2 linked regions of the Anolis sagrei genome follow. The protein of the gene in region 2 binds, or shares a complex with, the protein of the main gene of each other region. Links are inferred from orthologs where the notes say so. Each region holds a gene or a part of one and is shown on either strand. Other genes may lie near its edges.

Region 1 (10,456 bases), on a different chromosome or scaffold from region 2:
ATCAACGATGGAATTGAATCAAACTTGGCACACAGTTCTCCCATGACCAACAGAAAATACTGGAAGGCGGGCAGTGTCCTTTGGTTTTGGAGTTGTAGTTCACCTACATCCAGAGAGCACTGTGGACTCAAACAATGATGGATCTGGACCAAACCCTACACGAATATTCAATATGCCCAAATGTGAACAATGGTGGAGTTTGGGGGAAATAGAATTTTGACATTTGGGAGTTGTAGTTGCTGGGATTTATAGTTCACCTACAATCACAGAGAATTCTGAATCCCACCAATGATAGAAATGGGCCAAACTTCCCACACAGAACCCCCATGTGGGCCACAGCAATGCGTGGCAGGGGACGGCTAGTGTAAATATCTGATATGCAGGATGTATTTTCATTCACTGGACCAAGTTTGGCACAAATATTAAATCCTCCCAAATTTGAATACTAGTGGGGTTGGAGAGGGATGGATTTTGTCATTTGGGAGTTGTAGTTGCTGGCATTTATAGTTAATCTGTGATCAAAGAACAATCTGAATTCCACCAACAATGGAATTGAACCAAACTTGGCACACAGAACTCCTATGGCCAACAAAAAAACTGGAAGGGTTTGGTGAGCATTGACCTTGAGTTTTGGAGTTGTAGTTCACCTACATCCAGAGAGCACTGTAGGCACAAACAATGATGGATCTGGACCAAACTTGGCACAAATAGCCGATATGTCCAAATTTGAATACTGGAGAAAATAATGGAGCCCCCGGTGGCGCAGTGAGTTAAACCCCTGTGCCGGCAGGACTGAAGACCGACAGGTCGCAGGTTCGAATCCAGGGAGAGGCAGATGAGCTCCCTCTATCAGCTCTAGCTCCCAATTGCGGGGACATGAGAGAATCCTACCACAAGGATGATAAAAAAAAAACCCATCAAATCATCCGGGCATCCCCTGGGCAATGTCCTTGCAGACGGCCAATTCTCTCACACCAGAAGTGACTTGCAGATTCTCAAGTTGCTCCTGACACGACCAAAAAAAGGGGGGGGGAATAGACCTTGGCATTTGGGAGTTGTAGTTGCTGGGATCTATAGTTCACCTACAATCAAAGAGCATTCTGAACTCCTCCAAGGATAGAATTGGGCCAAACTTCCCATACAGAACCTCCATGACCAACAGAAAATACTGTGTTTTCTGATGGTGTTTGGCGATTCCTCTGACACCCCCTTGTGACTCCCCAGGGGGCTTTAGACTAAACTAAGCAGATATAGAACGGAATAAGGAAGTGAGGATCAATCATATTTGTGATTTCTCTGTGGAATTTAAAATTGGACAGTAAAGGGGGGGGGGGAATCAAATAATTTGAAATGTAGAGCTAGAAGAGACCACAGACCACTAAAAAAGACAAACATATGGGTCCGAGAACAAACCAAGCCTGGATTCTCGGTATTTTGGTCATAGAATGAGACAATGCTACTTCTTAGGAAAGACAATAACACTTGGAAAAGTGGAAGCAAGAAAAAAAAAGAGAAAATACAATACAGATGGACTGATTCAATCTAAGCAGCAACAGTTTCCCAGAATTTGTAAGATTGGGATTGGGGATCCTGTAGGTTTCTAAGTCAAGAGATCTTCCTAAGTCAACATGCACAGACAGCGAGACAGACGAGTGACACTTACATGGTGCCGCTGTCTTGGTGCCTCTTAGGTGTCACAAAGAGCAGGCGGGTAGGGCGGGCATTGCTGGCATCTGGGTGGGCACTCCAGGGCTTGGCATAGCTGTGATCCAGGAAGACCAGGTCCAGCTCTCTCTCGTGGACCGACAGCTGGAAAAGCAGGGAGGTCCCCATTCTCCGTGCAGAGGTCTGGAAATCGCGTTCGTTGCCTCGGTATGACATGTCTCCACGTCTTTGGCTGCTAACGCCGTTGGGGCAAAGGACTCCTCTTGCCCCTCATCCTGGTCCCTGGCAGGAAAGGAAGAGAGAAGCACCAAGAAATTGGCTTCTTCACACATCTGTTTATTTCTGAGGGGCTGCTGATACAGATTGGAGCCTGGGTCTGTAAATTTAGGATCTGCTATGAGTTTGGGCCTGCAGAAGCACCTCCCAAGATTTCCAGGAGTTCATATTGTGCATTCCTATGCATATAAAAGGTAAAGGTTTTCCCCTGACATTATGTCCAGTCATGTCCAACTCTGGGGTGTGGTGCTCATCTCCATTTCTAAGCCAAAGAGCCAGCATTGTCCGTAGACACCTCAAAGGCCATGTGGCTGGCATGACTGCATGGAGCGCCGTTTTATATATATATAACTATGTATATTTACTATGTATATAGTAAATCCTATACTATGGGACTACCTGGGTCCATAAGGTGACTCAATCCAAATGTTTGAGAAGTGGACAGCAGTATCCTTGGGTTGCTGTGAGTTTTTCAGGCTGTATGACCAGCTTCCGGAAGCATTTTCTCCTGAAGTTCCGCCCACATCAATGGCAGGCATCCTCAGAGGTTGTGAGGTATATTGGAAACTAAGCAATATATGTGGAAGGCCCATGGTGGGAGAAAGAACTCTTGTCTGTTGGAGGCCAGTGTGAATGCTGCAATTACTCACCTGGCTGATTCCTGCCTGGGGAAATCCTTTGTTGGGAGGGGTAAACTGGCCCTGATTATTCCATATTTTCTGAGTGTTGCTCTTTATTTACTGTTCTGATTTTAGAGGGTTTTTTTTAGTACAGTAGAGTCTTGCTTATCCAACACAAATGGGCTAGCAGAATGTTGGATAAGCAAAAATGTTGGATAATAAGGGCAGATTAATGAAAAGCCTATTAAATGTCAAATTACCTTATGATTTTACAAATTAAGCACCAAAACATAATGTTTGACGACAAATCAACAAAAAAAGCAGTTCAACACAGTAACGTTATGTATTAATTACTGTATTTACAAATATAGTACCAAAACATCGCAATGTATGCGGAAACAGAAGAATGGCCTGTCTCAGGGGAGCGTGCTTGCTCCATCCACGTTCAACATCTACACAAATGACCAGCCACTGCCAGACGGGACAGAGAGTTTCATCTATGCAGATGATCGTGCCATTACTGCTCAAGCAGGAGCTTTGAGATGGTTGAACAGAAGCTCTCCGAAGCTCTAGGTGCTCTTACTGCCTATTACAGGAAAAACCAGCTGATCCCTAATCCATCTAAAACACAGACATGTGCCTTTCATCTCAAGAACAGAGAAGCATCCCGAGCTCTGAGGATTACCTGGGAAGGAATCCCACTGGAGCATTGCAGCGCACCCAAATACCTGGGAGTCACTCTGGATCGTGCTCTTACCTACAAGAAGCACTGCCTGAACATCAAGCAAAAAGTGGGTGCCAGAAACAATATCATATGAAAGCTGACTGGCACAACCTGGGGATCACAACCAGATACAGTGAAGACATCTGCCCTTGCGCTGTGCTACTCTGCTGCTGAGTATGCATGCCCAGTGTGGAACACATCTCACCACACTAAAACAGTGGATGTGGCTCTTAATGAGACATGCCGCATTATCACGGGGTGCCTGCGCCCTACACCACTGGAGAAATTACACTGCTTAGCCGGTATTGCACCACCTGGCATCCGCCGGGAAGTAGCAGCCAATAGTGAAATGCTATTCTCTCCTGACGTTTTGCCTGCATCTATGGCAAGCATCCTCAGAGGTTGTGAGGTCTGTTGGAGCAAAGAAAATTGGGTTTTTATATATATGTGGAATGTCCAGGGTGGGACAAAGAACTCTTGTCTGTTGGAGGTAGGTGTGAATGTTTCAACTGACCACCTTGATTAGGATTTGATGGACTGGCAGTGCCTGGGACAATCTTTTGTTGAGGGGTGATTAGATGTCCCTGATTGTTTCCTCTTTGTTGTTTTGCTGTTGCAATTTTAGAGTTTTTTAAATACTGGTAGCCAGATTTTGTTCAATTTCATGGTTTCCTCCTTTCTGTTGAAGACCCTCTGAAGGTGCCATTTGCCACAGATGCAGGCGAAACGTCAGGAGAGCATGATATTGGAACAGGGCCGCTGTTGAGTATGTGCAGAGTTGCCCAAAGGCCTTTACTCACCTTTAAGAGCGGCCTCGATCCCGACGGGGCTTGAACGGAGAGACGTTGAGGGAAGAGGAAAACAAGCAGGCGAGACTCTCACTTTAGCCCCGGCCGCCAGCCAGGCAGGCCTCAGCCTCTTCTGCGCATGCGCGCTTCTTTTTTTTCCCCCTTCGACGCTGATTGGACGCCGAGCCTCCCCTGTCCCGACGCGGTGACGTCACCCCAGCACGTCGGCGCAAAAAAACGGAAGCGGATGTTTAACCGACTTTGGTAGGAAGGGACTCGAGGGAAGCGCCTCGTTGGAAGCAGAGGCCTGAGGAAAGGAAATGGGAAAGAAGAACAAGCTACCGGATAGGTAAGAACGTGAGACCGGATTACACAGAGCCTTCCTGGCCCAACCTGAAAGAAGGGAGAGCCTAGGCCAGGCATGGGCCAACTTGGGCCCTCCAGGTGTTTTGGACTTCAACTCCCACAATTCCTAACAGCCGTTAGGCTGTTAGGAATTGTGGGAGTTGAAGTCCAAAACACCTGGAGGGCCCAAGTTGGCTCATGCCTGGCATCGAAGGTAAAACTGAAAAGAAAAATGGGTTCCTCTAAAACTGTGGAGACCAAAATCCACTGATTGTGGTAATGTGAAAGTATTTAAATTAATGTATTGTCGAAGGCTTTCATGGCTGGAATCACTAGGTTCTTGTGGTTTTTTTCGGGCTATAGAGCCATGTTCTAGAGGCATTTCTCCTGACGTTTCGCCTGCATCTATGGCAAGCATCCTCAGAGGTAGTGAGGTCTGTTGGAATTAGGACAATGGGTTTATATATCTGGGCTCTCCAGGCCAATGGAGACTCCACCTCAGACATCAGAAGAGCTGCAAGACCAAGAACAAGCCACAAGAGTAAAGATGAAGATCCACCCAGAGGAAAAGTGTTCCTGCCATACATCAAGGGAACCACTGATTGCATAGGGAAGCTGATGAGGAAACACAACATACAAACAATCTACAAACCCACCAAGAAAATCCAACAAATGCTACGTTCAGCAAAGGACAAGAGGGATCCTCTCACCTCTGCAGGAGTCTACCGTATACCATGCAGCTGTGGACAAGTTTACATAGGGACCACCAAACGCAGCATTGCCCAAACACGAATCAAGGAACTTGAAAGGCACTGCAGACTACTTCAACCAGCAGAGCACCTGATGAACCAGCCTGGACACAGCATATTATTTGAGAACACAGAAATGCTGGGCCACACCAACAACCACCATGTCAGACTACACAGAGAAGCCATTGAAATCCACAAGCATGTGGGCAATTTCAACAGAAAGGAAGAGACCATGAAAATGGACAAAATCTGGCTACCAGTATTAAAAAATTCTAAAATTACAACAGCAAAACAACAGAGAGGAAAAAACCAGGCACAGATTAACACCTCCCAGCAAGAGATTTTCCCAGGCTCAGGCAGGCCTTCAAATGCTAATGAAGGTGATCAGTTGAAACAGTCACACCTAGCTCCAGCAGGGAAGAGCTCTTTGCCCCACCCCAGCCATTCCACAGATATATAAACCCATTGTCCTAATTCCAACAGACCTCACTACCTCTGAGGATGCTTGCCATAGATGCAGGCGAAACGTCAGGAGAAATGCCTCTAGAACATGGCCCTATAGCCTGAAAAACCTTCAAGAACCTAATAATAATAATAATAATAATAATGTAATAAAACTTTATTTATACCCCGCCACCATCCCCCCAAGAGACTCGGAGCGACTTACATGAGGCCAAACCCAACAACACATCACAACAGAAAAGCAATAACAACAATACAAAGCAATTCAATATAATATCTATATAAATAAAAATGTAATCTTCGTTTGTGGGATAAACAGAACTCAAAAGCCACTGGACGAATTGACACCAAATTTGGACACAAGACATCTAACAACCCAATGTATGTCCTTCACTCAAAAAAATTGATTTATCATTTTATTATTTATTTACTTTACTTATAGACCGCTGTTCTCAGCCCGGGGTCGACTCACAGCGGTGTACAACAAACAAGAACAGCAAGATTCAAAACTACAGAATAAAAACAATTCACAACCTAACACTATACACAGTTAACACCATTACTATGATAACCATTCAGCGTCGTGTCATCATCCAAAACATAATCCAAATTTGTCTTCCGTTGTTCCATTCCTATATTCATTACCAATCACTGCACTAATTATTCGAACACCTGCTTGAACAGTCAGGTCTTCAATTTCTTGCGGAATATCATTAGAGATGGTGCTAGTCTAATGTCCGTGGGAAGGGTGTTCCACAGCCGAGGGACCACCATTTATCATTTGGGAGTTGTAGTTGCTGGGATTTATAGTTCACCTACAATCAAAGAACATTCTGAACCCCACCAACGATGGAATTGAACCAAACTTGGCACACAGATCTCCATATATGAACCCACACATTCCCTTCGATCATCTGGAGAGGCCCTGCTCATGATCCCACCTGCGTTGCAAGCGAGTTTGGTGAGGACGAGGGACAGGGCCTTCTCTGTGGTAGCCCCCCGACTCTGGAACACTCTCCCCAAGGACATCAGACAAGCCCCAACATTGGCAATTTTTAGGAAGAGCCTGAAGACCTGGCTGTTCCAGTGTGCCTTTCCAGATTAGGAAACTCCTGGCATCATGTCCCAAATGCACTTTGTTAGAGACTAGGATTGTCTGCACATTGAACCTACCTCCAACAAACCTCTACATACCTCCTGTCAAGTTCAGCACTTTTAAATTTTGTCCATTACATTTGGCCCGGCCTTTTAGATTTTAAATGCATCATGTGTCGTTGTTTTTAGTGTTTTATTGTCTTAGCTTGATGTTTTATTATTTGCTTATGAGTTTTATGTTATATTTGTATGTTGTTGTTGCGGCCTTGGCCTTTGTAAGCCGCATCGAGTCCTTCGGGAGATTTTGCGGGGTATAAATAAAGTTAATAATAATAATAATAATAATGACCAACAGAAAACACTAGAAGGGTTTGGTGGGCAGTGTCCTTTGGTTTTGGAGTTGTAGTCCACCTACATCCAGAGATCACTGTGGACTCAAACTGTCGAGACACAGACGCCTTAAAGGGGCCACACAAAGTATTAGTTCCAAAGTACAGTTTAATGCAACAAAAACACAGAAGCTCAGAGACGCTTAACTTCAGTGCCTCTGGCTAAAACTCAAAAAATTAGCCAACCTTGGTTTAAAAAGCAAACAGAAACATAATTCGGATTAACCAGAGAAAAGAACTGGATTAAATGCAGTACTTAGTGGCAAACAAACAACACCGCACTCAAACAGTTAACAGCAAAGATAAACCGCCGAAAGAGTAACCAAAGCCAGACAAAGTCCAAGAGTCGTCATAGGTGAAATCCAAAGAAGTGTCGTTTCCAAGTCCGTCAAGCAGTGTCATCGTCAAACCAATCTGAGATCCAGGAAGGGAGAAAACCACACTCACGAGAAGTCAGTCCAAGTCGAACACACACAGGAACTCCAGGCTGCAGAACTCGGACCCAAAGCCCAACACAAAAACAGGCAGCGACAAAATCCACACAATACACAAATGTAACCGACACTTTGACTTCTGCAAAGATTCCCCAATTCAGAGCCTACTTTTATCTTACACATTCTCAAAGGCTAGTTTAAACATCCAAGACTTCAAATCCCTATAAAAGGAAGACAGTGTGGGTACCTGCTTGTGTCTTTCAGACTCTTCATCATACATTAGATTGCTTTTGTACCCAATAATCTGAAATGACTTCAGTGTGGTGAGTTAATTAAGCTGTGCCCCATAAATGAACCCAATAGTACACATAGGAAGACAGCAGCTAGATAATGCATGTACAATTAATATACCAAATTGCAAGTGCCAGAGCAAGCTTTAACTAATGTAACATTTCTGAAGTTTGGCCAAGTAATCTATACTGCTCCAGACATCAGAGTTCGATTCTGTGCTCAGGTGCTCATTCCTGCACTTTCAAGAATGTGCAAAAAATAAAGGCATAGAAAGGAATGCAGAGCAGCAATAAATGTTAATCCTAAAAACATTTAAAGTCAACGTGGACCCAATCTCCACATAAGTATAAGCCGAAGTGGGAAATGCAGCAACTACTGGTAAATTCTGGTAACATCCCTAATAGATTACTGCAACACGCTCTACGTGGGGCTGCCTTTGAAGACGGTTCTGAAACTTCAGTTAGTTCAACGGGCAGCAGTCAGATTACTAACTGGGCCACATACAGGGAGCATCCCCCCCCCCCCCCCGGTTATGCCAGCTCCACTGGCTGCCAGTCCATCTCCGAGCCCAATTCAAAGTGCTGGTTTTGACCTATAAAGCTCTATACGGCCCGAATGCATCTGCCCCTACGTCCCATCTTGCAATTTAAGATCATCCGGGGAGACCCTGCTCTTGTTCCCGTCAACAGCGCAAATGCGGCTGGCAGGCACGAGGAGCATGGCCTTCTCGGCTGTAGCCCCCCGCCTATGGAACACACTCCCAAAGGAGGTAAAATCTGCTCCCTCTCTCCTGACCTTTAGAAAAAAATTAAAATCATGGTTCTGGGACCAGGCTTTCGGACAATACATGTATGCAGCTTTTAGTGGGACAAGGACTGGAACGGTGACTCGACTGATGGGATTGTTTTATGGTTTTAATAACTGTTTTGATATTTGATGATGTACTGTTTTTAATATGATTTATGTTTAAAGTGTGGTTTTACTGTTGTAGTTGTAAGGCATTGAATTTTTGCCATTATCTATGTGTAAACGGCTTTGAGTCCCTCTCAGGGTGAGAAAAGCGGTATATAAATGCTGTAAATAATAATAAAAAAATAACAATGCTGAATATGTCTGATGGGATTTGTAGTTGAATGAAAATACTTTCCTCCAAATGAGCCTGTCTGCTTCTTGCAGTCTTTCTCTTGGTCCATCTGATTGCTCCTGTCCTTTCCTATCTGTTTTTGTACAGTAGTAGAAAATTGCAATGTTTCTTTTTCTAGATGGACGAATTATTTACCTCTTGGAAGAAGACTACCCAAGACGCGCTTCATTGCCTTTAAAGTTCCTCTTCACGAGGTAAGTTGCAACGTAGGTAGAAGTTTAATTTCCATTCTGGTTCTTGTAATGAAATAGTGATGAGTGGGTAAAACTATGGGCTGACAATGTAACTTGTATAGTTGCCTTGAAGGTATACAATAATAACCTCTCTGCGAACAAAGCATGGGATAAAGTCAAGGAATACCTGACTATGCAAATATGGACTCTGCTTCTGATGGGTCAAAAGACGTCCCAGAGATTGATGGCGGCTCAGAAGATATGGCTGAATTGTCTGACTTTTTTTTCCAGAGGTTTGGATTTAAGCTCGCCCCACAAGAGCGCTTTACTCCAGAAGACCTCATCAATCAAATCAGGGAGCAGAAGGAAGATCTGGGTTTGATCATTGATTTGACGTACACCACCCGCTATTACCAGCCAAAGGTCAGTTCTATTTATGAGCTGTACCTTCAGCTTTAGGATAGACGAAGGGTTCTCAACTTTCCTTAATACAGTGACCCCCAACATAACATTATTTTTGATGCTACTTCATCACTGTCATTTTGCTACTGTTAGGAATTGTAATGTAAATATCTGATATACAGAATGTATTTTCATTCACTGGACCAAATTTGGTACAAATACCCAATACGCCTCATTTTGAATACTGGTGGGGTCGAGGAGATTGATTTTGTCATTTGGGAGTTGTAGTTGCTGGGATTTATAGTTCACCAACAATCAGAGAAAATTCTGAACCCCACCAATGATGGAATTGAACCAAACTTGGCACACAGTTCTCCCATGACCAACAGAAAATACTGGAAGGGTTTGGTGGGCATTGACCTTGAGTTTTGGATTTGTAGTTCTCCTACATCCAGAGAGCACTGTGGACTCAAACAATGATGGATCTAGACCAAGCTTGGCAGGAATACTCAGTATGACCAAATGTGAACACTGATGGAGTTTGGGGAAAATAGACTTGACATTTGGGAGTTATAGTTGCTGGGATTTATAGTTCATCCACAATCAAAGATCCCTTTGAATCCCACCAATGATTGAATTGGGCCAAACCTCCCACTCAGAACATCCATGACCAACAGAAAATACTGTGTTTTCTGATGATCTTTGGTGACCCCTTTGACACCCCCTCGCAATCCTTCCAGGGGTCCTGACCCCCAGTTTGAGAAACACTGGAATAGATGTGTTTCAGAGAGCCCCTTTGCAATTGCTTCCACTGCTGCAAGTAACTTCAAATCTTTTCTCTGCCTTGAAATGTAAATATTGTTCCAGGTAGCTGGCCTGTTCTGAGGTATATTACAGCC
Region 2 (10,484 bases):
CTTGACTTGTAAATCACCAAACAATTGTTATTTAAACTACGTCTGGTTTGAAAACAAAAAACATTACAACCTAGCAACAACAACCTATTAATTTTTTAGGTGTACAGGTTGTACATCCCTTATCCGGAAATCTAAAATACTCCAAAGTCCGAAATTGTTCGCATGGGTGGTTGATTTTCTTGTGGTTAAATGTTTGCGCACTTTGTTTCATACTGAAAATTGTTAAAATATTACATATACAATTATCTTTAAACAAAGATGAGGTATATGACACATAAATTAATTTCCTGTTTAGACTTGGGTCCCATCTCTATGAGATCCTATTATATACATAAGTGCAATATCCCATCTCTAAGAGATGGGACATTGCACTTATGTAATGATAGATATCCCAAAACCCGATAAAATATCCCAAACAATTTTGGTTCCAAACATTTTGCTTATTATACATTATTAGAGTGGACAAGTTAAATTGGTGTGATCCTATAGTACCTTACTCAGTATTGAAATCTGAAACTTTTTAAAAATAAAAGTTGCAAATAAACATTTCAAATTGTAAACAAGGGGAAAGAGAACTCTTGCTGGATTAAAGTTAAAATCATATAATTTTTCCCACTCCTTGATATTTGTTTTTCTTTGTTAATTTATGTTATTTTACAGACTTTAACCATTCACTCTTCTATTGTTGGGAGGTCTGCCTTCTTCCAGAACTGTGCATATGATCATGTAAACTTTGTTCTTGCTGCTATGATTATGTAAACTTTGTAAATTAAACATTTTAGTTTAATGCTTTTTTTGATTATTTGATATTCCCAATTACAATAATGTGGGCTCCAATTGTATCTTCGATTGAAAAATTTCTTGCAGTGTTTTTTGTACTTAATCCAGAATTCTCTTGCTTTTTTACAGGTCCACCGCATGTGGAAGAAATTTCCTTCCTGTTTTGTTTTTTAAATATTTATAGCATTTGTTGATCTTCTCTTATACATTTTAGCTAGTTTTGCTGGGGTCAGGTACCACCTGTTCATAACTTTATTTAAAAAATTAGCTAAGGTCATAGCACTGATTTTTTTTTAAGCCAATAGTCCAAATTTTCTAATTTATCTAGTTTTATGTTCTGCTTGATATTTTGTTACCCATTTAATCATACAATTATTTATCAGTTCTGTTTCAATTTCAATTTTTAAACTTTAAAAAAGAAAGAAGGAAATTTTTTAGACTGCTTCATAATTTAACCTGTAAGAATCAGTGTAGGGAATTAATAAAAGAATAATAGAAAAACAATGTAATAGGAAGGAATAACAAAATTATACCTCAATGTTTCCAACCCAAGGATGGGAAGCCACTAAATTGGGAGGGGTGGGAGGAGGGAAGGGTATAACCAAATATGAATACTGTTATAAATGTTAGGAAGTATTGTATTGATTCCTGCATATACACATGTATAGATTTGTTTCACTGTTTTTAAAATTAAGATGTAAACTGAAAATAAAAAATATATTAATCATCAAGTTAAAATTATAATTTTAAAATTTATGTTTTATTAATATTGGTGTTTTGGTATTTGTTCTATGTTTTCCCTATCCTATCCAATTTGTTGTCAATTCACTCCTTTGGGCTTAATGCAAATTTACCATTTCCAAAATATACGATCCTGTCTTTTTCTTTTCCATTTCTGGCTGAATATCTTAACCATTGGTTTGTCCCATCAAATATGAGATCTGCCCAAGAGGCACTGCTTGTAGTCTATTGTGATCCAGTTCATCAGTTGACATATCCATTGGCTATCGTTTGTTAGTACTATATGCCCTGTCAATCTTATTTTTGCTTCATAGATTTAATTGACCACGTCACGTACCCCAGTTCTTTGACACAGCTCTTTATTGCTGACTTTATCTTATCCTTCTTTCCATTGCTCTCTGAGTCACCACCAGTTTTTCCTCCTCTAACCTTGTTGTTGCCCATATTTCAGAAGTGTATATAATTGCCGGTAAAACTGTAGTGTTGAAGATATCTGCTGTGACTTTAATTGACAGCTTATCATCCGGGCGTCCCCTGGGCAACATCCTTGCAGACAGCCAATTCTCTCACACCAGAAGTGATTTGCAATTTCTCAAGTTGCTCCTGACATGACAAAAAAAACCTGTTTTAATGAGATTTTAAGGATTTAATATGTTTGTAATTATGTGTACTGTGTCACATTTGGTTTAAGTTGTCTTATGATTTATTGAGTTGTTTTTTTTATTTGTTTATATATTATTGTTGGCATTGAATGTTTGCCACTCTTATTTTGTTGTAAGCCGCCCTGAGTTTCCTTGGGAAGGTAGGGCAGGATATAAATAAAGTTTAATTGATTGATTCATCCATTTGCACTGTCCAGTTTTAATTAAAAGCCATCCAAGCAGCCTTGTGTCTTCTTTTCCAATTGTCATTTGTTGCATTATTTGACTGTACTTATTATCCAAGATATACATATTCTATGTTTTTAATACACGTATTTTATGGTCATTTGATTTATCTATGTATTTTAATTATGCTGTATCCTGTGTTGTTGTTATCACAAAAACTAGGCTGATAGCCAGAGTAAAGCAGTAACCCACAGTCACTTTGTGCCTGGACTCCCCCTCCCCAACATCCACTTCAAGATGCCTGGGCTTTAACTTGGCATGTCACACCTATTTCCCTTTTCCCTTACTTTGAGCCCAAAAAAGGATGGCAGGGGCAACCTTTGTGGGGTTTTGTTTCTGGGGAGGCCTTTCTCAAAATGAGGGGGAAAGGGGAGTATGGAAGTCTCCTCTTCCTGGCCTGAGGAGAAATTTGTGAAGGGGCAACCCTTTCCTGTTCTGAGGGTGGGTGGGGGGAGAATTATAAGTCTCCCCCTCACGTCCTGAGGAGAAATTTGTGAAGGGATAACCCTTCCTTGTTACCTATGGGGAAAAGGAATTATATGTCTCCTCCTCAGGCCTTGAGGAGAAATTTGTGAGAGTGGCGACCCTTCCTTGTTCTATATGGGTGGGGTGGTGGTGGTAATTAATTATAAGTCCCCTCCTCAGGGCCTGAGGAGAAATTTATGAAGGGGTGACACTTCCTTGTTCCATATGGGGAAAAAAGATAATCATAAGACCCCTCTCCTCAGGGCTTGAGGAGAAATTCGTAAAGGGACGACCCTTCCTTGTTCTATATGAGGGAAAAAGAGAATTAGAAGTCTTCCCCTCAGGGCCTGAGGAGAAATTCGTGAAAGGGCGACACTTTCTTGTAACCGATGGGGGGAAAAGAGAATTATAAGTCCCCTCCTCGGGCCCTGAGGAGAAATTTGTGAAGGTACAACTCTTCCTTGTTCTATATGAGGGGAAAAGAGAATTAGAAGTCTTCCCCTCAAGGACTGAGGAGAAATTCGTGAAAGGGCAACACTTTCTTGTAACCTATGGGGAGGAAAGAGAATTATAAGTCCCCTCCTCAAGGACTGAGGAGAAATTCGTGAAAGGGCAACACTTTCTTGTAACCTATGGGGGAAAAAGAGAATGATAAGTCCTCTCCTCAGGGCCTGAGGGACGACCCTTCCTTGTTCTATATGGGCGGGAGGGGGGGGGGAAAGAAAATTATAAATCTCCCCCTCGTGGCCTGAGGAGAATTTTGGGAGGGGGCAACGCTTCCTGGTCATTGGGGTGTGTGTGTGTGAATTATGGCAGTCTCCTCTTCAGGGACTGAGGAGAAATTTGGGAGGGGGAAACTCTTCCTGGTCCATTGAGCTGTGTGTGTGTGTGTGTGTGTGTGTAGAATTATGGAAGTCTCCTCTGCAGGGCCTGAGGAGAAATGTATGTGGGGGAAATGCTTTCTGGTCCATGGGTGTGTGTGTGTGTTTGTGTGTGAATTATGGAAGTCTCCTTTTCAGGGCCTGAGGAGTAATTTGGGAGGGGCAAACCCTTCCTGGTCCATTGAGGTGTGTGAGAGTGTGTGTTTGTATAGAATTATGGAAGTCTCCTCTTCAGGGCCTGAGGAGAAATTTGTGAGGGGGAAACGCTTCCTGGTCCATTGGTGTGTGTGTGTGTGTGTGTGTAGAATTATAGTAGTCTCTCTTCAGGGCCTGAGGAGAAATGTATGTGGTGGAAATGCTTCCTGGTCCATTGGTGTGTGTGTGTGTTTGTGTGTGAATTATGGAAGTCTCCTTTTCAGGGCCTAAGGAGAAATTTGTGAGGGGGAAACGCTTCCTGGTCCATTGCAGTGTGTGTGTGTAGAATTATGGAAGTCTCCTCTTCAGGGCCTGAGCAGAAATTTGTGAGGGGGGAACGCTTCCTCGTCCATTGGGGTGTGTGAGTGTGTGTGTGTGTGTGAGAGAGAGAGAGAGAGAATTATGGAAGTCTCTTTGGGGCCTGAGGAGAAATATGTGAGGGGGAAACGCTTCCTGGTTAATTGGTGTGTGTGTGTAGAATTATAGAAGTCTCTCTTCAGGGCTTGAGGAGAAATTTGGGAGGGGACAACCCTTCCTGGTCATTGGTGTGTGTGTGAATTGTGGAAGTCTCCTCTTCAGGACCTGAGGAGAAATTTGAGAGGGGGAAATGCTTCCTGGTCCATTGATGTGTGTGTCTGTGTAGAATTATGGAAGTCTCCTCTTAAGGGCCTGAGCAGAAATTTGTGAGGGGGAAACGCTTCCTTGTCCATTGGTGTGTGTGTGTGTGTGAGAGAGAGAGAAAGAGAATTATGGAAGTCTCTTTGGGGCCTGAGGAGAAATATGTGAGGGGGAAACGCTTCCTGGTCCATTGGTGTGTGTGTGTGTGTGTGTGTGTGTGTCTGTGTGTGTGAAGAATTATGGAAGTCTCCTCTTTGGGGCCTGAGGAGAAATATGTGAGGGGGAAACACTTCCTGGTCCATTGGTGTGTGTGTGTGTAGAATTATAGAAGTCTCTCTTCAGGGCCTGAGGAGAAATTTGGGAGGGGGAAATGCTTCCTGGACCATTGGTGTGTGTGTGTGTGTGTGTAGAATTATGGAAATCTCCTCTTCAGGGCCTGAGGAGAAATTTGGGAGGGGACAACCCTTCCTGGTAATTGGTCTGTGTGTGAATTGTGGAAGTCTCCTCTTCAGGGCCTGAGGAGAAATTTGGGAGGGGAAAATGCTTCCTGGTCCATTGGAGAGTGTGACTGTGAGTGTGTGTATAGAATTATGGAAGTCTCCTCTTCAGGGCCTGAAGAGAAATTTGGGAGGGGACACCCCTCCTGGTCATTGGTGTGTGTGTGAATTATGGAAGTCTCCTCTTCAGGGCCTGAGGAGAAATTTGGGAGTGGGAAACGCTTCCTGGTCCGTTGGTGTGTGTGTTTGAATTATGGAAGTCTCTTCCTCTTCAGGGCCTGAGGAGAATTTTGGTCGGTCTGTAAGGGTAAAGCCTCCGCTTTTCCTCTCCAAATGGCACCCCCCTCCCCTCCTTCCCCCAATCCACTCCTTCTCCATCTGACAGAGGAGTTGCTTTAAGGCTGAGCCTATTGGAATGCTTTGCTCTTTGACTGTTGCCTTTTAGGCTACTCCTGGGACTGGCTGAAGCACAGAGTGGGGGGCCTGAGGGGAAACATTGGGGGGGGGGGGGCTTGAATAACCGAGGAAGGTATTCCCCCCCCCCCCCCCCCCAGCCCCTCTCGATTTCCTCTCATGCCCAAGAACCACCAGGCAAAAGAAGCCTTGAGGTATCAGCATCACCCCCTCCCCCTTACTCCCCAGTTCGTCAAGCCCCGCCCTTTCGCCGTTGACGGACACGCCTTCTGCCAACCGCGACGGCTTAGGCCTTGGTGTCAGCCAATGGGGAGCGGAGGAGGGCGGAAGACTTCCCACCCCCTCCACCCCACTTCAAGGCTGGTTGAGCTGTGCAGGTAGGTGTTTGAGGGGGTCTTGGGAGCAGGTTGCCAAGCGGGCGCGACTCTGAGGGCAAGTAGGGAGAGGCTGTGCCTGGAGAGGGTGTCCCCTTCTCTCCCTCTCTCTCGGCAGGTAGGTGGGTCTGGCTGAGCCCGCGGAGGGGGTGCCATGAGGGGGCCAAGGAAGCGGCAAGGATGGCAGAGGGGAAAGGGGGGCTGGGGGCGTGACGTTGCAGAGGCATGCTCCCCTGGTAAGGACGAGGAAGGGGTTTGGGGGAGAAGGCACCCCCTTCCTTCCAACCGTCGCCACTCTCCTCCTCCTCCCCTCAGAGATGCCAAGGGAAGAAGCAAGTCTCGCTTCGAGTCCAGGCCAAGTCGAGGAAGAAGCCCCTTCCTGGACTCCTGGCAACTTTGAGCGGGAGGAGAGGCAATGGGGTGGCCGGGGGGAAGGAATAGGGCCAGGCCAGGAAAGGAGAGGAGTTAGTGGACGGGTTTATTTGTTTTTTTGAGGGGGGGGGGAGCGTGGTCGTGGAACAGCCTGTCCCCCCTCCTTCCCACACAGATCTCTATTAAGGGAAGGTGATGGGTGTAAGGCAAAATAAATAAATAAATGAAATCTATATAAATAAAAATGCAATGTTCGTTTGTGGGATTAACATAACTCATAAACCACTGGGCGAATTGACACCAAATTTGGCCACAAGACACCAATCACGCCAATGAGTGTCCATCACCCCTAAAAACACACAAAAAAACCCAGCCGAACGGACTTTAACCCCCCCCCCCCAATAAACCATACATACATATACACAACTATACACATATACACAATATACATATACACATGCACACATACATACATACAGACATATATATATACAGAAATATACACATACACTCAAGCACACACATATACACAATATATATGTACACATATAAACACAGAAATATACATATACACATGCACACATACAGACAGACATATATATATACACACAAGCACCCACAACTATACACATATACACCTATACACATACATATACACATACATATATATGCATTTACACAAGCACACACATATACACAATATACATATACACATATAAACACAGAAATATACATATACACATGCACACATACATACAGACATATATATACACAAATATACACATACACCCAAGCACACACATATACACAATATACATATACACATATAAACACAGAAATATACATATACACATGCACACATACAGACATATATATACACAAATACACATACACCAAGCACACAAATATATAAACACGTATACACATATAAATACACAAATATATACACAGACCTAAACACACATATACACACACAAAACACATATACACAGACTGGGCCACAGCAACGCGTGGCAGGGGTTGGCTAGTATATATATATATAAAAATAACTTTGGGAAGTTGTCTGCCTTTGGAGGCGGTTTGCAAGAGGGAAGGTAAGCCTCTCCGTCCCTCCTCCTTCTCCTCTTCCTCCTCCTCCTTCGCACTCTCCTGTGTGTGGGTATTTCTGCTCCAAATAGGAAACTCAAGGCAGGGAGAATAAGGGGAAAGGGGTGGCTAAGGCCCCACTGAAGAGAAGACTGGCCCGGTGGGTGAAAAGAAGGCCAACCATCCATTACTAAACCCAATTTGGAAGGAAGGAAGCAGGCCCTGTTTGTCATCTTGCCCAAGGCCCGGCTCTCAAGGGCCCTGCCTCTGATGTGGGTCCTAATATCACCAGAAAATTAAGGTTTTGCAATAGTGGGAGCGCCTTTCTGAGGGCACCCATTCCAGATTTCAGCCTCATCTTGACTGAGCGTGTAATGCTGTTTCAAAGCGGATCATTCAGTAGGAAATCCTGGAACCAGTTTCAGGCCTGGAGGGTGTGCAGAGCATTGGTGCACATTAATGCTTTATTTCTGCAGCTTTTGTGGGAATTTTGTTGCCTGGCTGCTGCGGTTTGAAGCTAGCTTTAAACTGCATTAAATGGTCAGTTTAGATGAGGCCTTCATTTGAGCCAGGGCTCTCAAACCTAAAATCTCTCACACACAGATATCACTACTTCCTCTTTCTCAATCAGTCCTACAAAATGGGGAGATATTTTATTATAAACAATTTGTAGTGACTGAGTTAAACCGATGTGGCCCTATAGTGACAAGTCAGAAACAAGTCTCTCACTGAGGCCCCATCTACACTGCCATATAAAATCAGATGATCTGCTTTGAACTGGATTACATGGCAGTATAGACTAATCCAGTTCAAAGCAGATAATCTGAATTTTATATGGCAGTGTAAATGCGGCCTGAGTTCAGGTAAGTGGGTCTATAGGACACTAGTTTAAAATTTCTGAACACCTGAGCAACTGAAGGTTGCTTATATAAATATGAGGATTATGTTTGGGTCTTTGGGTATCTTGTTTCTAGATAGTTCGGGGCTTAAGTTTCTTTCCCTTAGAATTGTAGCTTGGACATCCCATTATTAATTTTTTTAAGCTTTAGGACAGAGATTGGGTAAAGTGCAGTATTGGGGCTGCACATGACTCTGTTTTTCCTGCCTGCCAGTCCTCCACACTGTTTAAAAATACATTTTTTGTCAAGTAGAAGTAAAGTTCTGGTTTTGGGAGAAGAGTATATTTGGGTGGCCTGTGCAATCCCCAGAAAGTCCGAAGGACAGCACATGGGTCCCCTGGACCTATTACAAATCATAGGGAGGAATGTTCATAGAATATCATGGAGGTAGAAATAAGGAATCTGCCATTTTTATTGTTCTAGAGTTGTAATTTTTACGGAAGAATATTGCAAAACTAAGATACCTTTTTAAAATCTTCAAAACAATTAAATTTTATCAGCCTGTGGATGTTGTGTACTTCCTAAAATCCACTAATGATATATACATAGAGACACTAGCATTTAGGAAAAGCTTAAATATGTATTGAATAAAAAATAGAATCATAGACTCATTCAGTTGGAAGAGACCCTGTGGGCCATCTAGTCCATCCCCCTGCCAAGAAGCAAGAAAATCATATTCTTGTGCTAATTCAATTAGTTGTGCTAATTCAATATGATAAATATTAGCCAGTTCCAAAAATCAAAATTTCTACCACTGTAAGATAAAATGGGGCTGTTCAGATAATAGCACAATTTTATGCAAGTCTATTCAAATGTACGGTTCATTATGTTCTATGGGACCTACTTCAATGTATGTGTGTTGCAGCTGCAGTTTAAAGTAATTTAATAAGCGAGGACACCTCCTTTTCCAAACTCTTTATTGGGTCAGGGGAAATAGAGCAGTGACCTCCCATATTTTTTCCCATGGATCTGTTTCTGACAGAAACTTTGTAACAGCAAGAGAAAAATCAAAATTCTGTGCATTTTCAGGGTGATTGGTTCTTTTTGATTTTTCCATTGACTGAAAAGATTTTAGATTTTATTTTTTGATTGTTGAGGAAACAATATGACCAAGATAGGTCTATCATAGGATGTGTGTGTGTACACATGCACACTTAGATCACACAAGCAGAGAGAAACTAATTGAAAATGAAGTTAAATTTGTAAAACTGGTGGTTTGTTTGATCAGTCAATATTTGATTTTGTTTTTTGGACTCCTCTGAAATTGTATATTTGGAGGTGTTAAAAAAAACTATATCAAGAGTTTTTACATCTAAACCTTGCATTTTCTTCTTGGTATAGTTTGTTTCTAATGTACATGTCTGTGATTAAGTCACCATTAGGTTTTGCATTAGGGAATACTAATAAAATACACTGGTACTTGTCTTTTATAACTTGGTATTCCAGTTTTTATTCTCATAAAAGAACCAAAGTCTACGTAGCTACAAACCATGGTGCAGGGAATACAAAATAATGTAAACCGTAGGTGTATTTATAATCTATTTTTAGTCCAATCAATAGTACATAAATAGTTTTAATGACATATAAATAATCCTGTCAAATAACTATCTGTGAAAAGAACAGTTGTCTTTTTAAACATGAAATTTCCATAAACAAAAGCTACCACCCAGTTAGAAGGAAAGCTCCTTGAGGGTAAAATTAATAAAGTTTTCACCCTTTCCTTTGTAATTTTTCTGCTTTTTCCTCTGATCAGTGATAGGTTCTTTAACACTAGGAAAGATTTTGCATTGAAATTAACTGCAGCGTTAGAAGGTTATGCATAGAACAAGAGCTCTGGTGGGAAAACTATCTGTAGTTTCCCCAGTCCCCCCCCCCCCCACCCCCATTTGTTTATTCAATATTTTATTCAAAACTTTAACAGAAAAATACAAATAAATCCACAGTACTGATACATTAACATACTTGATCAAGTTTCTTCCCCATTAAAATGCTAGTATGCTGTATTAGTTTGAGTGTTAAAATAGAACACTGGGAGACCAGAGTTTGAATTCCCATTAAGCTCAAGAAACCCATAGGATCAGTTTTTTAATCATTCTCTTGGCCTCAGAGGAAATCAGTGACACGTTTGTTAAGATAGGTCTATCATAGGATTGCTGTAAACTGGTGTTGTTGTAAAGGCATAGAACAGGAAAACTACATATATTTTGAAATCTTCTTTTTATCCACAAATGCTTATGCATTGCAAGAATTAATTATCTCCAAATCTTTCAATATG

The links.
Region 1: KANSL1 (region 2) and KANSL3 share a complex: the UniProt entries of both Homo sapiens proteins name them as parts of the NSL complex. The link is inferred for Anolis sagrei from reciprocal best matches to the Homo sapiens genes KANSL1 and KANSL3.

The regions. Positions count from the first base shown.
Region 1 is NC_090027.1:22,753,744-22,764,199, reverse strand, and holds the start of KANSL3 (KAT8 regulatory NSL complex subunit 3), read right to left. Parts: upstream 4,227-10,456; 5' UTR 4,086-4,226; intron 1,948-4,085; 5' UTR 1,882-1,947; coding exon 1,664-1,881; intron 1-1,663. Other genes in the region: DUSP11 (RNA/RNP complex-1-interacting phosphatase), read left to right, coding at 4,394-4,422, 9,101-9,176, 9,447-9,578. UniProt on the Homo sapiens protein: Non-catalytic component of the NSL histone acetyltransferase complex, a multiprotein complex that mediates histone H4 acetylation at 'Lys-5'- and 'Lys-8' (H4K5ac and H4K8ac) at transcription start sites and promotes transcription initiation.
Region 2 is NC_090026.1:44,095,047-44,105,530, forward strand, and holds the start of KANSL1 (KAT8 regulatory NSL complex subunit 1), read left to right. Parts: upstream 1-5,772; 5' UTR 5,773-5,855; intron 5,856-10,484. UniProt on the Homo sapiens protein: Non-catalytic component of the NSL histone acetyltransferase complex, a multiprotein complex that mediates histone H4 acetylation at 'Lys-5'- and 'Lys-8' (H4K5ac and H4K8ac) at transcription start sites and promotes transcription initiation.